Drosophila melanogaster: one gene and its partner. The protein of the gene in region 2 purifies or fractionates together with the protein of the main gene of each other region. This does not show direct contact. Each region holds a gene or a part of one and is shown on either strand. Other genes may lie near its edges.

The links. The genes of interacting proteins can lie anywhere in the genome.
Region 1: the proteins of ZAP3 (region 2) and nocte purify together in Drosophila melanogaster (affinity purification with mass spectrometry, with the first as the bait; one large-scale study listed by BioGRID). This does not show direct contact.

Annotation. Positions count from the first base shown.
Region 1 is NC_004354.4:10,470,669-10,478,646, forward strand, and holds the start of nocte (no circadian temperature entrainment), read right to left. Parts: upstream 4,008-7,978; 5' UTR 3,385-4,007; exon of another isoform or gene 3,270-3,384; intron 2,920-3,269; exon of another isoform or gene 2,501-2,919; intron 1,476-2,500; 5' UTR 1,302-1,475; coding exon 1,212-1,301; intron 1,116-1,211; coding exon 950-1,115; intron 871-949; coding exon 1-870. Other genes in the region: CG2889 (uncharacterized protein), read left to right, coding at 4,350-4,472, 4,534-4,954, 5,013-5,457, 5,515-5,727, 5,940-6,483; CG2887 (uncharacterized protein), read right to left, coding at 6,727-7,755.
Region 2 is NC_004354.4:10,077,014-10,085,044, reverse strand, and holds the start of ZAP3 (ZAP3), read left to right. Parts: upstream 1-2,552; 5' UTR 2,553-2,740; coding exon 2,741-3,112; intron 3,113-3,173; coding exon 3,174-6,559; intron 6,560-7,676; coding exon of another isoform or gene 7,677-7,695; exon of another isoform or gene 7,696-8,031. Other genes in the region: CG2972 (uncharacterized protein), read right to left, coding at 320-1,663, 1,723-1,797.

The sequences.
Region 1 (7,978 bases), 390 kb from region 2:
CCGTGTCGTTCTGTGGCCGAAGGCTGAGCTCGCCCAGATCCGCGGACCCGCCGCCGACGTCGTCGCTGCCATCTCTGTAGTCGCGATGCGAGTGGTGTCCATACTGGCGCCCGTGGCCATGGTGGTAGTCCCGATGGTGCTGTTGCTGCTGGTGGTGGTGCTGTTGATGCTGCTGGTGGTGCTGCTGATGCTGGTGATGGTTTTGGTGGCCGGCATGGTGCACCTGATTCTGGTAATGGCTCTTGCCCGCTCCAGATCCTGAACCCACACCCGCTCCCGATCCTCCGCCGGCGCCGCTGCCAACTGTGCCGTCCAGCGTGGGAAATTCGTACTGGAACTGTGGACTCTGATAATGGGGGACCACCTGCTGTTGCTGGCGTCCATAGTTCTGACCGCCCGAGCCCCGCTCGTGTCCTGTGGTAATTGCAGACCATGTCTTGGGTGAGTTGACTGAGTGTCCGCCCGATCCTGACCCTGATCCACCTCCTACTCCTGACGATCCGCCGCCGCCCGACCCTCCTTGTCCGCCTCCGCCGGAACTGCCCACGGAGTTGTTGATTAATTTGAAGTTCTTGTTGCCGCTGCCTGAGCTGCCGGCGTTGTTGTTGCTGCTGCCGTTGTTGCTGTTGACAAACTTTCCGGCGTTAGGGCCGAGAGCGACGTTATTATTGTGCTGATGCTGGCTGTGAGTCAGCTGCTGGGATAGATGGCCACCAGCAGATGAAGACGCAGTTCCTCCGCCGCCTGATCCCGCTCCGCCGCTCGTTCCTGAACTTCCGCTGTGGGCAGTGGTGTTGTTGTGGCTAGTGTTGGTTCCTGCCGCGCCAGATCCCGCTGCTCCGCCTGCGCCCGCCCCACCAGATGTGGCTCCTAAAATGGAAAATTCACCCAGTTAAAGGTACATCTTAGTACACACGCTTTCAATAAGATAAAATCGTAGAACACCCACCTTCGACTGAGACTAAGAGATTGTTGTTGCTGCTGGTGTGGGTCTCGGCCTTCAGGGATGGCAAATTGGCTGGTGGTCGCCTAGCGGACGGCACTTTGCCCAAGATTTGCATTCCATGTTTACGTGGCACTTGATTCTTTTGTGCAGATGGTTCACTTGACTCGCCCTGCAAACAATAAGAACAAGTTGGCGATCAGATAGGTTTGGATCTATCAAGATCTAGATGTAGATCTAGATCTAGGTCTAGGGGCTCGCTACTTACGCGGCTATTCTTGTACATGCGATTTATATCTAACGCTGTGAATTTGGGCTTGGCATTTCGCTCTCCCCTACTTCCCCCCAGTGTACTCATGCTGCCAATAGATCCTCATTAGCGTTAGCTTCCTTCTCGCCACCGCCGCGCTCCTCGTCTTCCCGCTGCGCTGGAGGATGGGCTAGGATGTGGCTGTGGTTCTTGACGAGAATGAGTTTAAGGAGCTGGGATCGCTTTTGGGCCGAAGCTCCTTGTTTCAGTCTTTCTGGTGGGCTGCAAAATACAAAAGCGTAGATAGGCATTTAATTGAGTATAGGTGCAGGCGTAGCGAGGCGAGGCTAGTCAGTTGCAAGTGGGTGGTGCTCCCGACAAATTGTTTTCAACACGCTGGTTATTGTGTGTCCGGGAACTCCTCTATTTAGCCACCCCCAACCGATCCGCACCACTAACGCTTACAGAGGTGGATCTGTAGCGAAAATTGGTTCTTCTTAGAAAGATATTGCAAATAATTTGGAAAATAACCTCTTCAAACAATAATAGGTATGGGTTTCAACTAAACCGAGTTTTAGTAGAAATGCTTTTGATATTTCATTTCCACTGAAACTAAAGAAGTTTCTTGGTAGTTTTCCAACACATGCTGTTGCGAAATACGTTCAAGTTCTTAATGCTTCGTTAAAGTAACAACTAGAGTGTAATTCCATTCGACTACTACCATTCGAAACTGTTTGTAGAATCATTTGGTATTTTGTTGATATTGCGTTTATTACGAAAACGTTTGGGGCAACTATTTCCCAGTTTCGCTCCCCCCTTTGATCCGACACTGAATGCAGGCAATGTTTGGTGCGAGCAGGACAGCCAGTGCCTCGCAGCACACGCAACTGAGAGGCTGCCTTGGGCGGGTGACAGCGGAAGCGGGACAGCTAGATAGATTTACCCACACACACACACCAGCGCCAGCAGCGGCAGAAGCGGCAACGCATTGAAAGAATTTTTTGCGGTGGCGTCTTGTAATAATTGCGGCAGGGGGCGTGAAGGGGCGGCCGAACAATGGCTGACAACTACAGCAACAATAGAAAAAACGGGGCCAGTAAAATCCTCGCAACAAGAGCGACAACAACAAAGGCCGGCATTTAAAATGTAACCAATTTGACAGATGCAAGTGGGGGGAGTACAAGACAATCTAAACGCTTGGCAACAATTCTATGTCTCCTTTTTGTAATAACAACCATTCACAAGCACAACGCACACTAACACCACGCAGGCACAGGCGCACACATCACGCACACACACACACTTACGTTCGCAGAAACCGAGAGGATTTGATAGTTATTATTTAATCGACGAGTGCAATTTTTTTTTTTGACCACCTTTTGTTTTACAGCCGTATCCTTTTATTAATTTTGCATGGCACAGTGGCTGGCAAAGGCAAACAAAGAGGAGAGACGAGTAAAATATACCGTTTAAACAGCACGCACGCACACAGCAATACACTCGGGGAGTTTCGTTTGTTGGGCAGCGATGATAAACTGAATGGAAAACGCTTGAATTTGTTTACTTCGAATGTTTCGCGGTCTGCTGGCACACTTGGCCGCCTGTATGTTGGTTATTTAACTGTTAACTTCGCGGAAATTGATATCTTTTGATTCTGCTTTTCACCGTCCAACATAAAGTTTGCCGCTAATTCTTCTTCCTCGAGTTCTTCCTCTACCACTTCTCACTTTTCGAATGTATTGCGTGCGTGAGTGGTGTGGAGCGCGGCGTTGCCACCTGGTCCGTTGGGATCCAGCCAGACCGCCGAGTGAAACTAATTCCGGGGGTGGCAGTCGCCTGGCAATTATTAAACAATTAGAGAGCGTGCTATTTAGCGATTAAACGGAAATTAACACGGACTCTATGCATCGATGCCGACAAAAAGAGAAAACGGACCACGATGACCTGCCGACGACAAATGCAACGCTGTTTGCGATATAGAGCGGGACAACATGACTAGCTGAACTTCCCTCCCACTCCCACACGTCGAATTTGACAGAACCGACAAAAATATTTCTTTGATACAATGCGTATTTTCTACAAACAAAATCACAGATTTACAAACCCGCTGTGCAATTAAACATAATTTAGCAAACAAATCTCGGTTCCGGCCTACTTCCAGAGCGAGAGCATGAGAGACCATAGAGCTTACCCTTTCGCACGCAGAGCACACACCGCAAACACAGTTCGTTGCTCCTTGGCTTCTTTCTTTCCTTCGCCTTTTTTTTGCACTCTTTCTGGCGCTTACTCAGCGCCCGTTTCGCCGCTTGTTAAAACACGGGACGAAAACAAAAGAGAGCGCAACCAAGACGAGACGTGCCGCTGCTGCAGTTGTTGTTGTTAGTCGCCTTTGTTCGCCAGAATCTTCGATTTGGTTGAATTTCGATTTCGATTTGGTTGCGATTTTCGCTATGTTGCGCTGGCTTTGTCAGCGCTCTCGCTCCCACTCACTTGCACTGCGCTCTCCCACTCTCCGCTCACTCGCGCCGTCCCTCTCGCGCGCTGTCGCTTTTTTGCAAGTGTAGGTGGAAAATGGTATCGGGTGAGGAGGCTTCGAGTAAACCCGTTTGAATTCGCTTTTTCCACGGGTTTTTGCCTTTCCTTCGCTAGGTTTTAGCTCTGCACACACACTACACACGCACACGAGTTGCGTTTCTTATTTGTTTTGATTATTTGCGTTGCGTTCTTTTCACGTAATACGTAATTGTCCATTAGTTTTAAATCGTATGTATTATTTTTTTGCCATTTTACGGCAAGCGTTGCCAGAGTTGTGTGGGTCGATTGGCGTGCTGCCTGACCGTCCGCAGAATGCCATCGTTTTGATGTGTATCCAGCGATATATTAAGTTTCATATTTTCGATTTTTAATTAATGGATAATCGTTTACAGCGTATTTTGCAGACAATTAAAAACGTAGACCATAAATTGTAAGAGAAATTAAAGAGAAATACTCAACGATCAGGGTGGCCACCCCGCAAAAAACTCCTGAGATGAAGTTTTGCCATTCACAATTGGATTCTGTTATCGATTCACGATAGGTGAATTATGTTGTTTACAACGAAAAACTGTTTAAATTTTTTATTTATTTGACTTTGCGTTGTGGTTCTGTTCGCGCGAAATGATTTGTCGCCTTTGCCTGCGATGTCTTAGTCCCGGAAGCGCTGTCTTCCTCTTTGAGACGGACGATACGCTTGCGGAGACGCGCCTGGTCAAGATGATTGCGAAGTTTCTGCAGCTGGAGGTGAGTGTATCTGGCAAATACCAATGGTATCAAAACAATTCCAATAAGCCATCCCATGCAGATCCTACCAGACGACGGCATCTCGACCAGCGTCTGTACCGAGTGCTGTGAGCATCTGGAGGACTTCAATGGCTTCTGGCAGCTGGTGGAGCAGAAGCAGTGCTCACTCAAGAAGGAGTTCCTTACCGTGGACGTCGACTGTGCGGCCATGAAGTGGACGGGCGGTGTGGACGTGGACGTCAACATCGACGAACTGCCGCTGGCGGCTGGCGACATGGACGAGAAACCGTTGGACCTGCACAACCTTAGTCTGCTGGGAAGCGTGCTGGACGTGAATGTGGACAGTGTGGAAGTCAGGGAACCGATCAAGGAGCAGCTGCCCTGCGAGGAGGAGGAGGACGAGAAGCCCTGCCTGCAAGCTAGTGATAGCGAACCGGAGGTGACCGAGGGGCAGCCGGAATCTGAATCTGACTCCTCAGATGGTTATTATCTTAATGTTTCCCAAGGATTAGCCGTAACTAAGTTCCTGTTCCATTGCAGATGAACCCCTGGTCCGTCTGAAATCGAAAATGAAGCCCAAGCGCAAAACCTCGGCACGTTCCTCCAAGGATCAGGGTCCGATATCGCTGCAGCAGGAGCTTGCAGATCTGCTCGACGATGGTGGCAAGCGTCGGCGCAGGAAGGCACCTGACCAGCGAACAACCACCGAGTCGCAGGAGTCCGAGCTACAGGCCGTTCTCGAGCGCAAGCCCAAGGGCTGCTCCCGTGCTCAGCTGGCCAAGAGCTACGAGAAGGCCATTGCTAGCTACATGAGTGCAAGCTGCGACCTGTGCGAATTTAGTGCTCCCTACCTATCCGAATTGAAGACCCACTTCCTGGAGGTGCACCAGCGCGAGTACTACATCAAGTGCTGCGGCAAAGTCTTTACACGCGCTTCCAAGCTGATGGACCACATCCGCAAACATATCAACCCCAAGCTATTTACGTGAGTTTGAAGCCCGAGGGTTCTGTCTGTTGCTACATAGACTTTAAAATCCCATAGCTGCACCATTTGCAAGAAGTCGCTCAACTCGCAGGACTACTTGGCCACTCATATCGAGACGGTGCACAACAAGGTGGCTCAAATCGGCAAGGTGCTCAAGTTCCCGTGCCCCAAGTGCGAACGCACCTTCAGCAGCGAGCGCCGTATGGCCAATCATCTGGCCAAGCACGACACCGATCAACTGGAGCACACCTGCGAGATCTGCTGCAAAAGGTGAGAATAGAGCAGGGTCTCTGATCGAATTGGAATTCTTGCCCCATATTTGAATTAGTAATCTTTATTCATTCCACACGCAAATGAGAGGGATAGCTGTCTACTTATTCCGCACTCACACTGTTTCGAGAATAGCAAGAAAGAAATAATTTTTTTAAGATAAAAAAACTGTCTTGCAAGTTGAGTATTTGATATGAAATTATCTGTTACAGCTTTGCCAATGTACACCGCCTGCGAAGGCACATCCAATCCATCCACGAAGACCTGCATCGTCACGTTTGCGACATTTGCGGGAAGAAGTTCAAGTTCAAGCCCTCCTTCGAGCGCCATTTGCTGGAGCACCAGGGCGTCGTGGCCCCGGCTGTGGAGTGCCCCATCTGCCGTGTTTGGCTGAAGAACGAGCACAGCTTGCGCCTGCACCGCTTCACACACGACAGCACGGACACCGTGTGTCCGCATTGTGGCAAGACCTGCACATCGCGCACAGCGCTCCGCGGTCACGTCAAATATGCCCACAAGCTGACCACCAATCTGCAGTGCACGTTCTGCGAGAAAACCTTCAAGCAGCAGCGCAACCTGGACGAGCACATGGCCATCCACACGGGCCTGCAGCTGTACAACTGTCCGCATTGCCCCAAGGAGTGCCGTTCCCGCTCCAATATGTATGTCCACATTAAGCAGCGTCACGCGGACGAGTGGCTGCGCGCCAAGATGGCACGCTCGCACAATCCGCAGTTCAAACCGGCCGACGTTTAAACCTGACCCCTCACAATTGTGTTTAATCATTATACGTATAATTAAACTGTACTTCACTGGTTTCATTCTTATTAGAGGTATTTGTAGCGGACAATGCTTGTTAGAGGTAGATTATAAGATCTTTATTGAATCACATAGAAAAAAAATATGTAATTTTATGTGGAGCACAGATGATTTTTTGTTGTATGTATGATCCGTTGATCCGTTCATAAAGACGGATAACATCTCCAGGTGTCCATTCGATCAGTTTTGCAGAAGTCTGTCGAGCGAGGATGCGAGTTCTTTGGATATGGCGTCTGGAAACTGGATGGAGAACCTGACGACGATGGAGCCGCGACGGGAATTATTAATGGAATCGGGCAATCCGTAGCCCAGAATGCGGCGCACGGATTTCGGACTGATTACCTCGCCCACGTCGGTCTTGAGTTCCATCGGCCTGCCAAGAAGCGTCGGCACCATCACGTGTAAACCGCACAGAGCATCCTTCAGCGAGATTTCGGCTGTGTACAGCAGATTGTTGCCATCGCGGCGAAAGATTGGGTGTGGCTTGTCCCGGATTATAAACACGACGTTGGCGGGCTCAAGGTTGGGCAGTTGAATACCCTCATTGGGAAAGCAGATCTTGGTGCCAGCCTTACAGCCCGGAGGTATCTTGACAGTGAGAATTCTGTCATATTGTACCCCATCAACGCCGTTCCTACCCGAAGCCCGGGAGATCTTCATGCGCCTGTTGCACCCGTTGGCAATGTCCTCCAGAGCAACGTATATTACATGTTCGATGCTTGACTGGGGTGACTGTTGTTCGCAACGACGTTTAGGCGCGCCCGCTCCTCCACCCAACAGGACGTCATCGTCGCTGTCAAAATCGTTTTCGATATCCTCGAAGAACGTAGAATATGATTCGCTGTTGTCGAAGAAACGTCCAAAGTTGGCCCGCGGGTTGTTCTGGCGACCACCGCCACTGCCACCGCCACTGCCACTGCCACTGCCACCACCACAGCTACCAAATGCCGTTCCATCGCCGAAACCGCTACCTTGATTCGCGGTATTGCGTCGGGTACCCTTGTCATTGCGGGAGTCGTACGATCCGCGCTTCTTTTTGTCTGATAGGACTTCATATGCCTTGGCCACCTGCTTAAAGATCTCCTCCGCCTGAGGGCTCTTGTTTTTGTCCGGATGGTAGCGCAGCGCTTGCTTATGATATGCCTTGCGGATTTCGCCATCATTGGCAGTGCGCTGGATGCCCAGTATCTTGTAGTAGTCTTTAGGCATGGTTTTTTACTCCAAATGTTTTACGTACACAGACGAACAAGTGCAACTCCTTCGAAAATTTAATCGAATTGTAAAAGGTATTGTTCCAATCAGAATGTTGCTTAATTTGAACAACACTGCTACGATTACTATATGCTTACTATTTATTTATGCTTCGATTTAGATTTTATAGCCTAACGCCCTTTCTTTTAGTTTTTCTATTGGTCTGATTTTGGTTAACTTA
Region 2 (8,031 bases):
CAATTAAAAACAGATTTAATTACGTTAAAAAAATGAAACTTAATGCTAGTTCATAACAAAAAAAAAGATTTTCTAGCTTTTAACTTTGTAAATAAATATTGGAATTAGAATCCAAGAAAAACTCCATACCTTACATACAAAAAAAAAAGATTTATTTCGTTTAAAAATAACGCTTGTAACTACTTGAAAAGCTTCTCTGTTTACATTTTACAAAGTTTCAGGTTCTCCCTTGTGTTTTATTTTATATATTATATAAATTTATATAAAGTCTACGATTGGAAAGCTAATGAACAACTAGCCCCTTACTGCCCAGAGTAATCTACTTGTACAAGCGATTGTAGTTCTTGCGCCGGCGATCCTCCTCGAAGTTGTTATTCCTGGCCCACTCCTTGAGGTTGCCCTTGGAGCGCAGCATGGCGGACTTGGAGTCCACGTCGCGCAGCACGAAGGGCGAGAATCCGGCCGTGTAGTCCTGATCCAGAGCGTTCGTCTTGGTCTTGGCAACGCGCGACGGCATCTGCCTGGGCATCGGCTGATCCTCGAACAGGATCGGATTTCTCGAATGCTTGCCGCCCTGGAAGCGAGGCAGGCTCTGATTCTTGTACTTATTGGTCAGCGGACGGCGCGTATTGATGTGAATCACCTGGCGACCGTTCTCGTCCAGACTGACGGCCACACGTTTCAGCGTCTTGTTGCCACAATTGGGGCAAAACACCTTGGTCATGATGCTGGTGGTCTTGTAGCACGCGTAGCAGCGGAGTATATATGTGCGCAACTGCTTGATGATCCGGCCATTGAGGGCGGCCAGGTGGAGATTTAGCTGCTTGAGCACGTTCTGCAGCGCATAATCGGTGGTCATGCAGGCGACGGGCGGCACTTCATCCGTTTCCACTTTGCCCTCGAGCGCTTTCTTGGCCTTCTTGATGTTTGAATGCGTGATCCAGCCATCGTCACCCACATCCTCGTCGAGATTTTGGCTCTGTTTGGCTTCTTGTGGCTCGGATACCTCCTCATCTACTTCGGCCGGCTGGGAAACGAGCAGTTCCGAGAGCTCTTTCTCTTCCTCGGCACTGGGTGCGCATTTGAGCTGCTCGAACAGCTTGTCCAGCTCCTCCTGACTGGGCTCCTGGTCTTGGTCCTCCTCCTTTTCGATGGTCTCGCTGGCAAATGGTTCCTTGCCGGCCAATTGGGCTTCGATGGCGGCTTTAACAGTGTCTGGGGATTCATTTGCCTCCTGCTCATCGCCTTCAGCATCGTCCTCTTCCTGGGAGTAATCATCTTCCTCCTCGGAATCCTCCTCCTCCTCCTCTTCGCCCTCGGGCATGTACCAACCGACCAGTCTCTTGTTATTAGCATCCTGCATCTCCTCGGGTTTATCCTTGGACGCAATGGTCTGCGCCATCACAGGCTCCTGGCGCAGGTGATCAGTGCCCACGTTGTCTGCTTCCAGTTCGTAGGTGAGCGAGATCACTTTCAGATCGATCCCCGAGAGACTCGCGTAGTCACCCGTTTTCTTGGCGAACTCCACGCAGTGTTTAATGCTCTCCGGACGAGGCTCGCGCACCTGGAGGTCGAAGGGCAGAACGCAGAGGCGGCGAATCTGGCGCTTGTTGCGCACTTCGGCCACCACATCCGGCACGGTGAGCACCTGCTCCGCGTATTCCTGTAGGGGATTAGTGGCGGCTTTAGATGGCTCGAATGGGCAAATTGTGCGTGACTTACATTCAGGGGCACGGCGTTTATAAAGGCTGTGGTGTCCGCCACAAGGAACTTGATCTTTTCGCTCGTTTCGGCCATTTTCAGTGCTAATTTTCACATGAAAAACAAAGGACGGCAAAAAATAACAATTTCTGCACGTGTCGCGATTAGTGTGGCTGTAGTGAGCTGTGACCGTTACGTTAGGGTATGCTAAAAATACCAAAAAGTGTTTATGAATTTGTGATTTTAATATTAGTTAATTAAATTTTACATTTTTAAGAGTTAGGCAAAGCTAAATGAATGCGTTCCCTAAAATTTTATTGCTAGCTCTCAATAAAATTGTTAAAATTAATTCATGTTAAAATATATTTCTATGAGATATTATATTATTATCACAGGGAGATATCGGTCCTGACTACTTAGACTTTCGGCCGGACTGTTGGAAAATTACCAAATTTACTTAACAAACTACAAAAAACATCAGTTAAACAAAATATCACTTGACTTAACTTATATTAACATATTTACAGATATGAAAAAATGTAGTAAAATGCCTGGTCTGAGAAATCTATTAATTTGCTGCAGATTTTCAAAAAGCTCATTAGAAGGTCTGCCAGTTTGATCTTCTTGTTTATTTTTTTTTTAACATATTTTCGTATTATCAATACAACTTCTACGAATCAATCACTTAAGCAAGCTATCTTTGCTAATTTTTCAATTTGTAGGCTTGTAAGTGCATTGGATTACATTCAAATTATTTTATTAATTGGCAATGGAATATTCTAGGGTGCTTGCGATATATGGATGCACACTCGCAGCACGGTCACACTGCCCGGCCCATTTAGCTGACAGTTCCATCTCTAGTTTTCAAGCCAAATATGGCGAAGTTTTCATTATCAATTCGTTCAGATAGCAAACTGAATTAGTGAAAGGTGGACGATTTTAAACGGAACGGAGCCAATCCGCCGGATTTTGTGAAAGCCCAACCGAGCGGTACAAGTGTGTTATTCGCTAATAGGCTAATCAATCCAGTGGACACGGTATGTGGGGCCAATGGCAAACCGCCGCCGCAGTGGCTCCCACTGCCGCTCTACCTCCGCAACCGTCGGTTCCGCCACCGTTGCCGGACGCCCCGCCCCCTCCGCCTCCATCGGACGCGACCGCCGGAGCCGGAGCATCAAGCGGTGCCTCTGCACCCATAGTCACGACTGCAGCCGCAGTCACAACGGCCCCTGGATTCAACCCCTATAGCAGCGGCCAGGCGACGGGGGCTGGCAACCCCTATCAACAGTATACGGCCGCCCAGTACGCGGCCATGACACCCGAACAGCAGTACGCACTGCAGCACCACTGGCAACAGTGGCAGACATACCAGGAGGAGTACGCCAAGTGGCATGCCCAGTACGGTGAGCAGGTGGGTCAAATCAATTAGTTATCGACGATCATATTGCTATAGTAGTCTTCCAAATCTTTAGTATAAGCGTGAAATGGCCGCAGCCGCGGCCACAACTACCGCAGTTCAAGGCGTGCCCGCGCCTGTGGTAGCGACTCCTGCAGCAGCACCCGTCCCTGTGGTCGCTCCTCCCGGGCCACAGGCCTATCCTGTCGCACATAACTATTACCAAGGTGTCAGCGCCTCGCCGGCGCAGTCAACTACACCCGTAGCCGTCGCGGGAGCACCGCCACTGCCCGGTAAGATCATGGCCCAGCCGCAGATGTACAACCAGCCGCCGCCGCCACCACAAAAAGGCGGTTACAATCAGCATCCGAATGACATCCAAAGCATGTGGTCAGGACCACCGCCAATGCAACAGCCGCCGCCAAATAGATATGGTGGCGGTCAAATGAACCAGATGAACTACAACATTGCCGGGCAAGACAACCAGGGATTTCCGAATCTCCAGCAGCCGCCGCCAAGTTTGCAGAGACCAACACCGCAACAGCAGCAGCCGCATTTAAACCATATGGACCATGGCCAGTGGGGAAATAATCAACACGGTGTGGGCAATAATAATCGTCCTACCTGGGATACCAGTGGTCCGCCGCCTGATAATACCGGCCAACCCAATCGCTGGAATGGCCCGCCGCCGGCAAATGATGTCAACAATCGCTGGAATGGAACGTCATTTAACAATAACACCAATGATGGCAATCGCCGCTGGGATGGGACTTCAAATCAAGCGCCGTCTGGCGGGGATCAGCAACTAAATCGTTGGATGAGCGAACCACCGCCAAGCCTTCCGAATCCCAATCAGCAGTATCAAAACCAGAATTCCTGGATGAGCGGACCACCACCGAGTATAAGTGATCCGCCACAGGACCATCAGCAGCAAAACAATAGCAGCCAGAATGCCCGCTCGAGTCGCTGGCAAGGAATCAATTCCGACATCGATACACCGCCAATGAGGACTAACAACAAGCCAAATAGCATCCAGAATAGCCGCAATAGTTGGGGTGATGGAGGTGGAGATGGAAACCAAAGCAAGAACCCATTCATTAAGAATCCACAGTCCGATTTTGGCAATTATGGCAACAGTTACAATAGCCAAGATCAAGGTAGTGCAGGAGGAGGCAACTTTGGCGGCTTTGGAGATGATAGTGGAGGCAAGCAAAGCCAGGACAGTTTTGCTGGACGTGGTGGAGGACCCGGCAATAATATTAATAATAACTTTAGTAACAATCGCCGCCAGAACAATCGACGGGATAACAATCGTAACCAGGGATTTTCCGATGAGAGAGGCGGTGGGGATTCTGGTCCAGGCGGCTACAATCCAAATCGTGGCAATTACAATCAGCGCAACAGCTTCAATCAGTCGAATGCGCCCTACAAGCAGTCGCAGCAGAACCGCAATCAACAGCAACCACCCGATTTGGACGAGGCCAGTTTCGATCTGCTGTTCGATCAGTGGGAGCAACAGTTCGAAGAATGGAAGCTGGCCAATGCCAACCATCCGGATCGTGACGAGTATCGACGCTACGAGGAGGAGTTCGAGAAGCAGCGCCGTCGCATCGCCGAGAGAAGGGAGCAGATGCGCCGACGTCGCCAACTGCAGATGGGTGGTTCGGCAGGAGGCTCGACCACAGACATAAGGAAGGAAGCAGCCGCAGGTGCATCCACGACCGCGGAGCAGAAGCCAAATAAGGATCCCTTCGAAGGCCAGGGCCGTTTTGCCGATCAGGGTGACCAGGATCACGGATCGGGTCCCAACTTCGGAAACGGGAACAGACAGTCCGGAAATGCTGGTCATTTTGGAAAAGAGAATCGCCCCTTCGAAAGCGCCGGAGTACCTGCATTCAGAGGCAACCAAGGACCGCCACCGGGGATGCACAACCAGTACCAAACCGCCCAGGAAGCCATCCAGCAGATATTGGACGAACAGCCAGATGAATCCAACCAGGAAATTCCAACCAAGCCGGCGGCATCAAATGAAAATTCATCTGATGTAAAGAAAGCAAAAACGACAGCTTCCCCAGTGGCTCCACCGATTGCACCCGTGGTGCCGCCCGAAGTTAAAGCTCCAGCTGCACCAGTAGTGCCAGATCCGACAGTGGTTCCGCCCACGCAGCCTCCTCCGGTTTCCACAAATTATGGCAAGCGCCGTCAAAGAGCTGCTCCCTCACAAATACCCGCTAAGCAAGTCAAGGAGGAGGAGCCCATATTCACCATTTCCCTGGACGACGACGACGACGATGATGAGGAGAAAGAGGTGGTACAGGACGCACCTAACACGCCCATGGGCAGCATTTTCAAGAAGAACGATGGCATACCCGGTCTGGATTTGGTGGACGATGGCAGTAACAAGAATAATTCGTCCTCAGTCTTCAATGTGGTGCTCAAGGATTCCAGCGAAAAGAAAGCGGCTGATGAAACTGAAAAACAGCCAGGCGACGTGTCCGCCGACAAGAAGGGCGACGAATCTCTAAGCAATGCCCTCAAGGATCCAAATTTCATTAACAATCTCTCCCAGGCGGTGGCCAATGTACAGGAACGCGAGCAGCGCGATCGTCACGAGCAACGCGATGATCAGGAATCGGGTACGGATGGACGTCCATTGTCCTTCGCCGAGTGGCAGCGCAAGAAGAACAGCGGCAACGAAAACAAGTCGCAGGATGCCGGCGACTCGGTGAGCACCAATAACGGTGAGAAACCGGACAATAATGGCCCACCTGGTGGCTTTGGTCCCGGAAACGGACCAGGCGGAGGTCCAGGTTCTGGTCCAGGTCAAAACGATGGATCACGTTTCGATGTCTTTGGACCAAATCAAGTGTCTGGAAATAATTTCATTGACTTAGATAACAATGGTCCACCTGGCTTTGGACCACCGGGCAGGAACTTTGGACCCAACGGTCCAGGACCGCGTGGAAACTTTGGACCCAACTTCGGGCACAACTTTGGACCTAGAGGTCCGGGCGGGCCGTTCATTAGACCAAATGGACCGTTACCGGGTCCGGGTCCGAATTTCGGACCACACTTCAGACCAAATGGCCCCAACTTTGGACCAAACTTTGGGCCCAATTTCGGACCGCGTCCGGGTTCCCGCAACTTCGGGCCTCGCGGACCCGATGGTCCTTTCGGTCCGGGACGTGATGACTTTGGCGGTCCGCCGTTTGGCGGTCCACGACCCCACATGGGACCCAATGGACCAGGTCACAATATGCGCGGCTTTAACGGTGGACCAATCAGTGATAATCCCTTCCGACGCCAAGGCGGCCCACCGGGTCCGGGCTTTGGCAACGATGATCTGGGCGCAGGACCACCGAGAGGACCCAGAAACTTTGGCAACCGCTTTGGAAATCCAGGCGGAGGTGGTGGTGGAGGAGGAGGAGGAGGAAACAACAATCGGAAGAACTGGAATGACGGGTATGTGTCTTCAATCTGTTTTTAACTTTTTCGACTTGATTGAATATCTTTTCACTACGTATACAATAATATCGAAATGTTATATCTTGACAAAAAATTGTGGAACGGGGAAAGATGATTCTTTCCCCTCCCACTATGCTCTGCCAAATTCCAATATCAATTGTCTGATTGTCTGAGGAAGATATGGGAACGTTATCTTCTCAAGAGCACTTGCTATTAGTATTCATTTGGATGGTACAATCTGGAAATATGTTTGTTTTGGGGAAATTCAAGTAGGGCTGCATGCATATCTTTGAAACGTTAAAAAAAAACAACCTTAAACAACATTATCCATTCAGTAAATTCGTTGATTTTGTATTAAGTACAGATGCTATTTGCACTTATAGTTACTGTTTTAAGTGTTTTTATTATGAATAATCAGTCCATTATTATGCCTAATCAATCCATGCGTTGGGGGTTAACCCAAACCCAAAACATTATCAAAAACCTGTGGGCCGTCGAATGATTGTTTGTCCGAATGTACGCAGTACTATCGCCTATCGATGGGCTAACAAATATCTGAAATATCTGATGCAACGTTTTCGAATAAGTAGACAATCTGCTTCCTATGCTTATTTATTCAGCTCTATTCACATTACGCATATCCGTGGGATGCCTTCTCAAACGGCCTGATGTTCAGATAGCCTATAGATATATATATATATATATATATATATATATATCGTTCTCGTTGGGCACTATTCCGCTCGATCCCCCCTCTTACCCACATTTTTGTAACCCTTCACTTTCTCTATCTGTATCTGTATTGATATCATCAAATTTAATTTAGTTAACTTGTCCAGGCCATTTTCTAGTTATCTTTAATGCTGGAATTTCGATTCCAACCCCGTTTTTTTCTTCTTCTCTTCTACTTTTATGCAATACTGATATATAAATACTGAATATAAAAATATAATTAAAACAATCTTACAAACGAACGATAACCAAATCGAATACGAAAACCAACACGCAAATGAATATCTAAACGGTGGTATTGATTGATTGTTGGCGATGTTCCCGATACCTATGCATATATGCATATATCCACCAATCTGTGTCTGATCCATTGTCTGTGCAGCAAGAGAAGGGGGCGGTAGGAAGCTCCAGCAACGGCAGCAGCAGCGCAGGACCTGATCTTTGATCTCTGAACTCTGAACTCTGAACTCTGAACTCTGAACTCTGAACTCTGAACTCTGAACTCTGAACACTCGAATTCGGGATCTGATTAGGCGACAGAGGACAGACTTTGTTTTGGGGGGCGGCTATCCGAGGGAGGGCAGATCGTGAAAACTCCTCGAAAATAAACATACTTAAATATATATAACTAGCTATATATACATGCAGCGTACAGAAGTCAGAGAAAGATCTATAATATTAAGATTATCACGCATACGCATCTGCCACATTCGCAGAAAACGAATAAAAGAGTATAA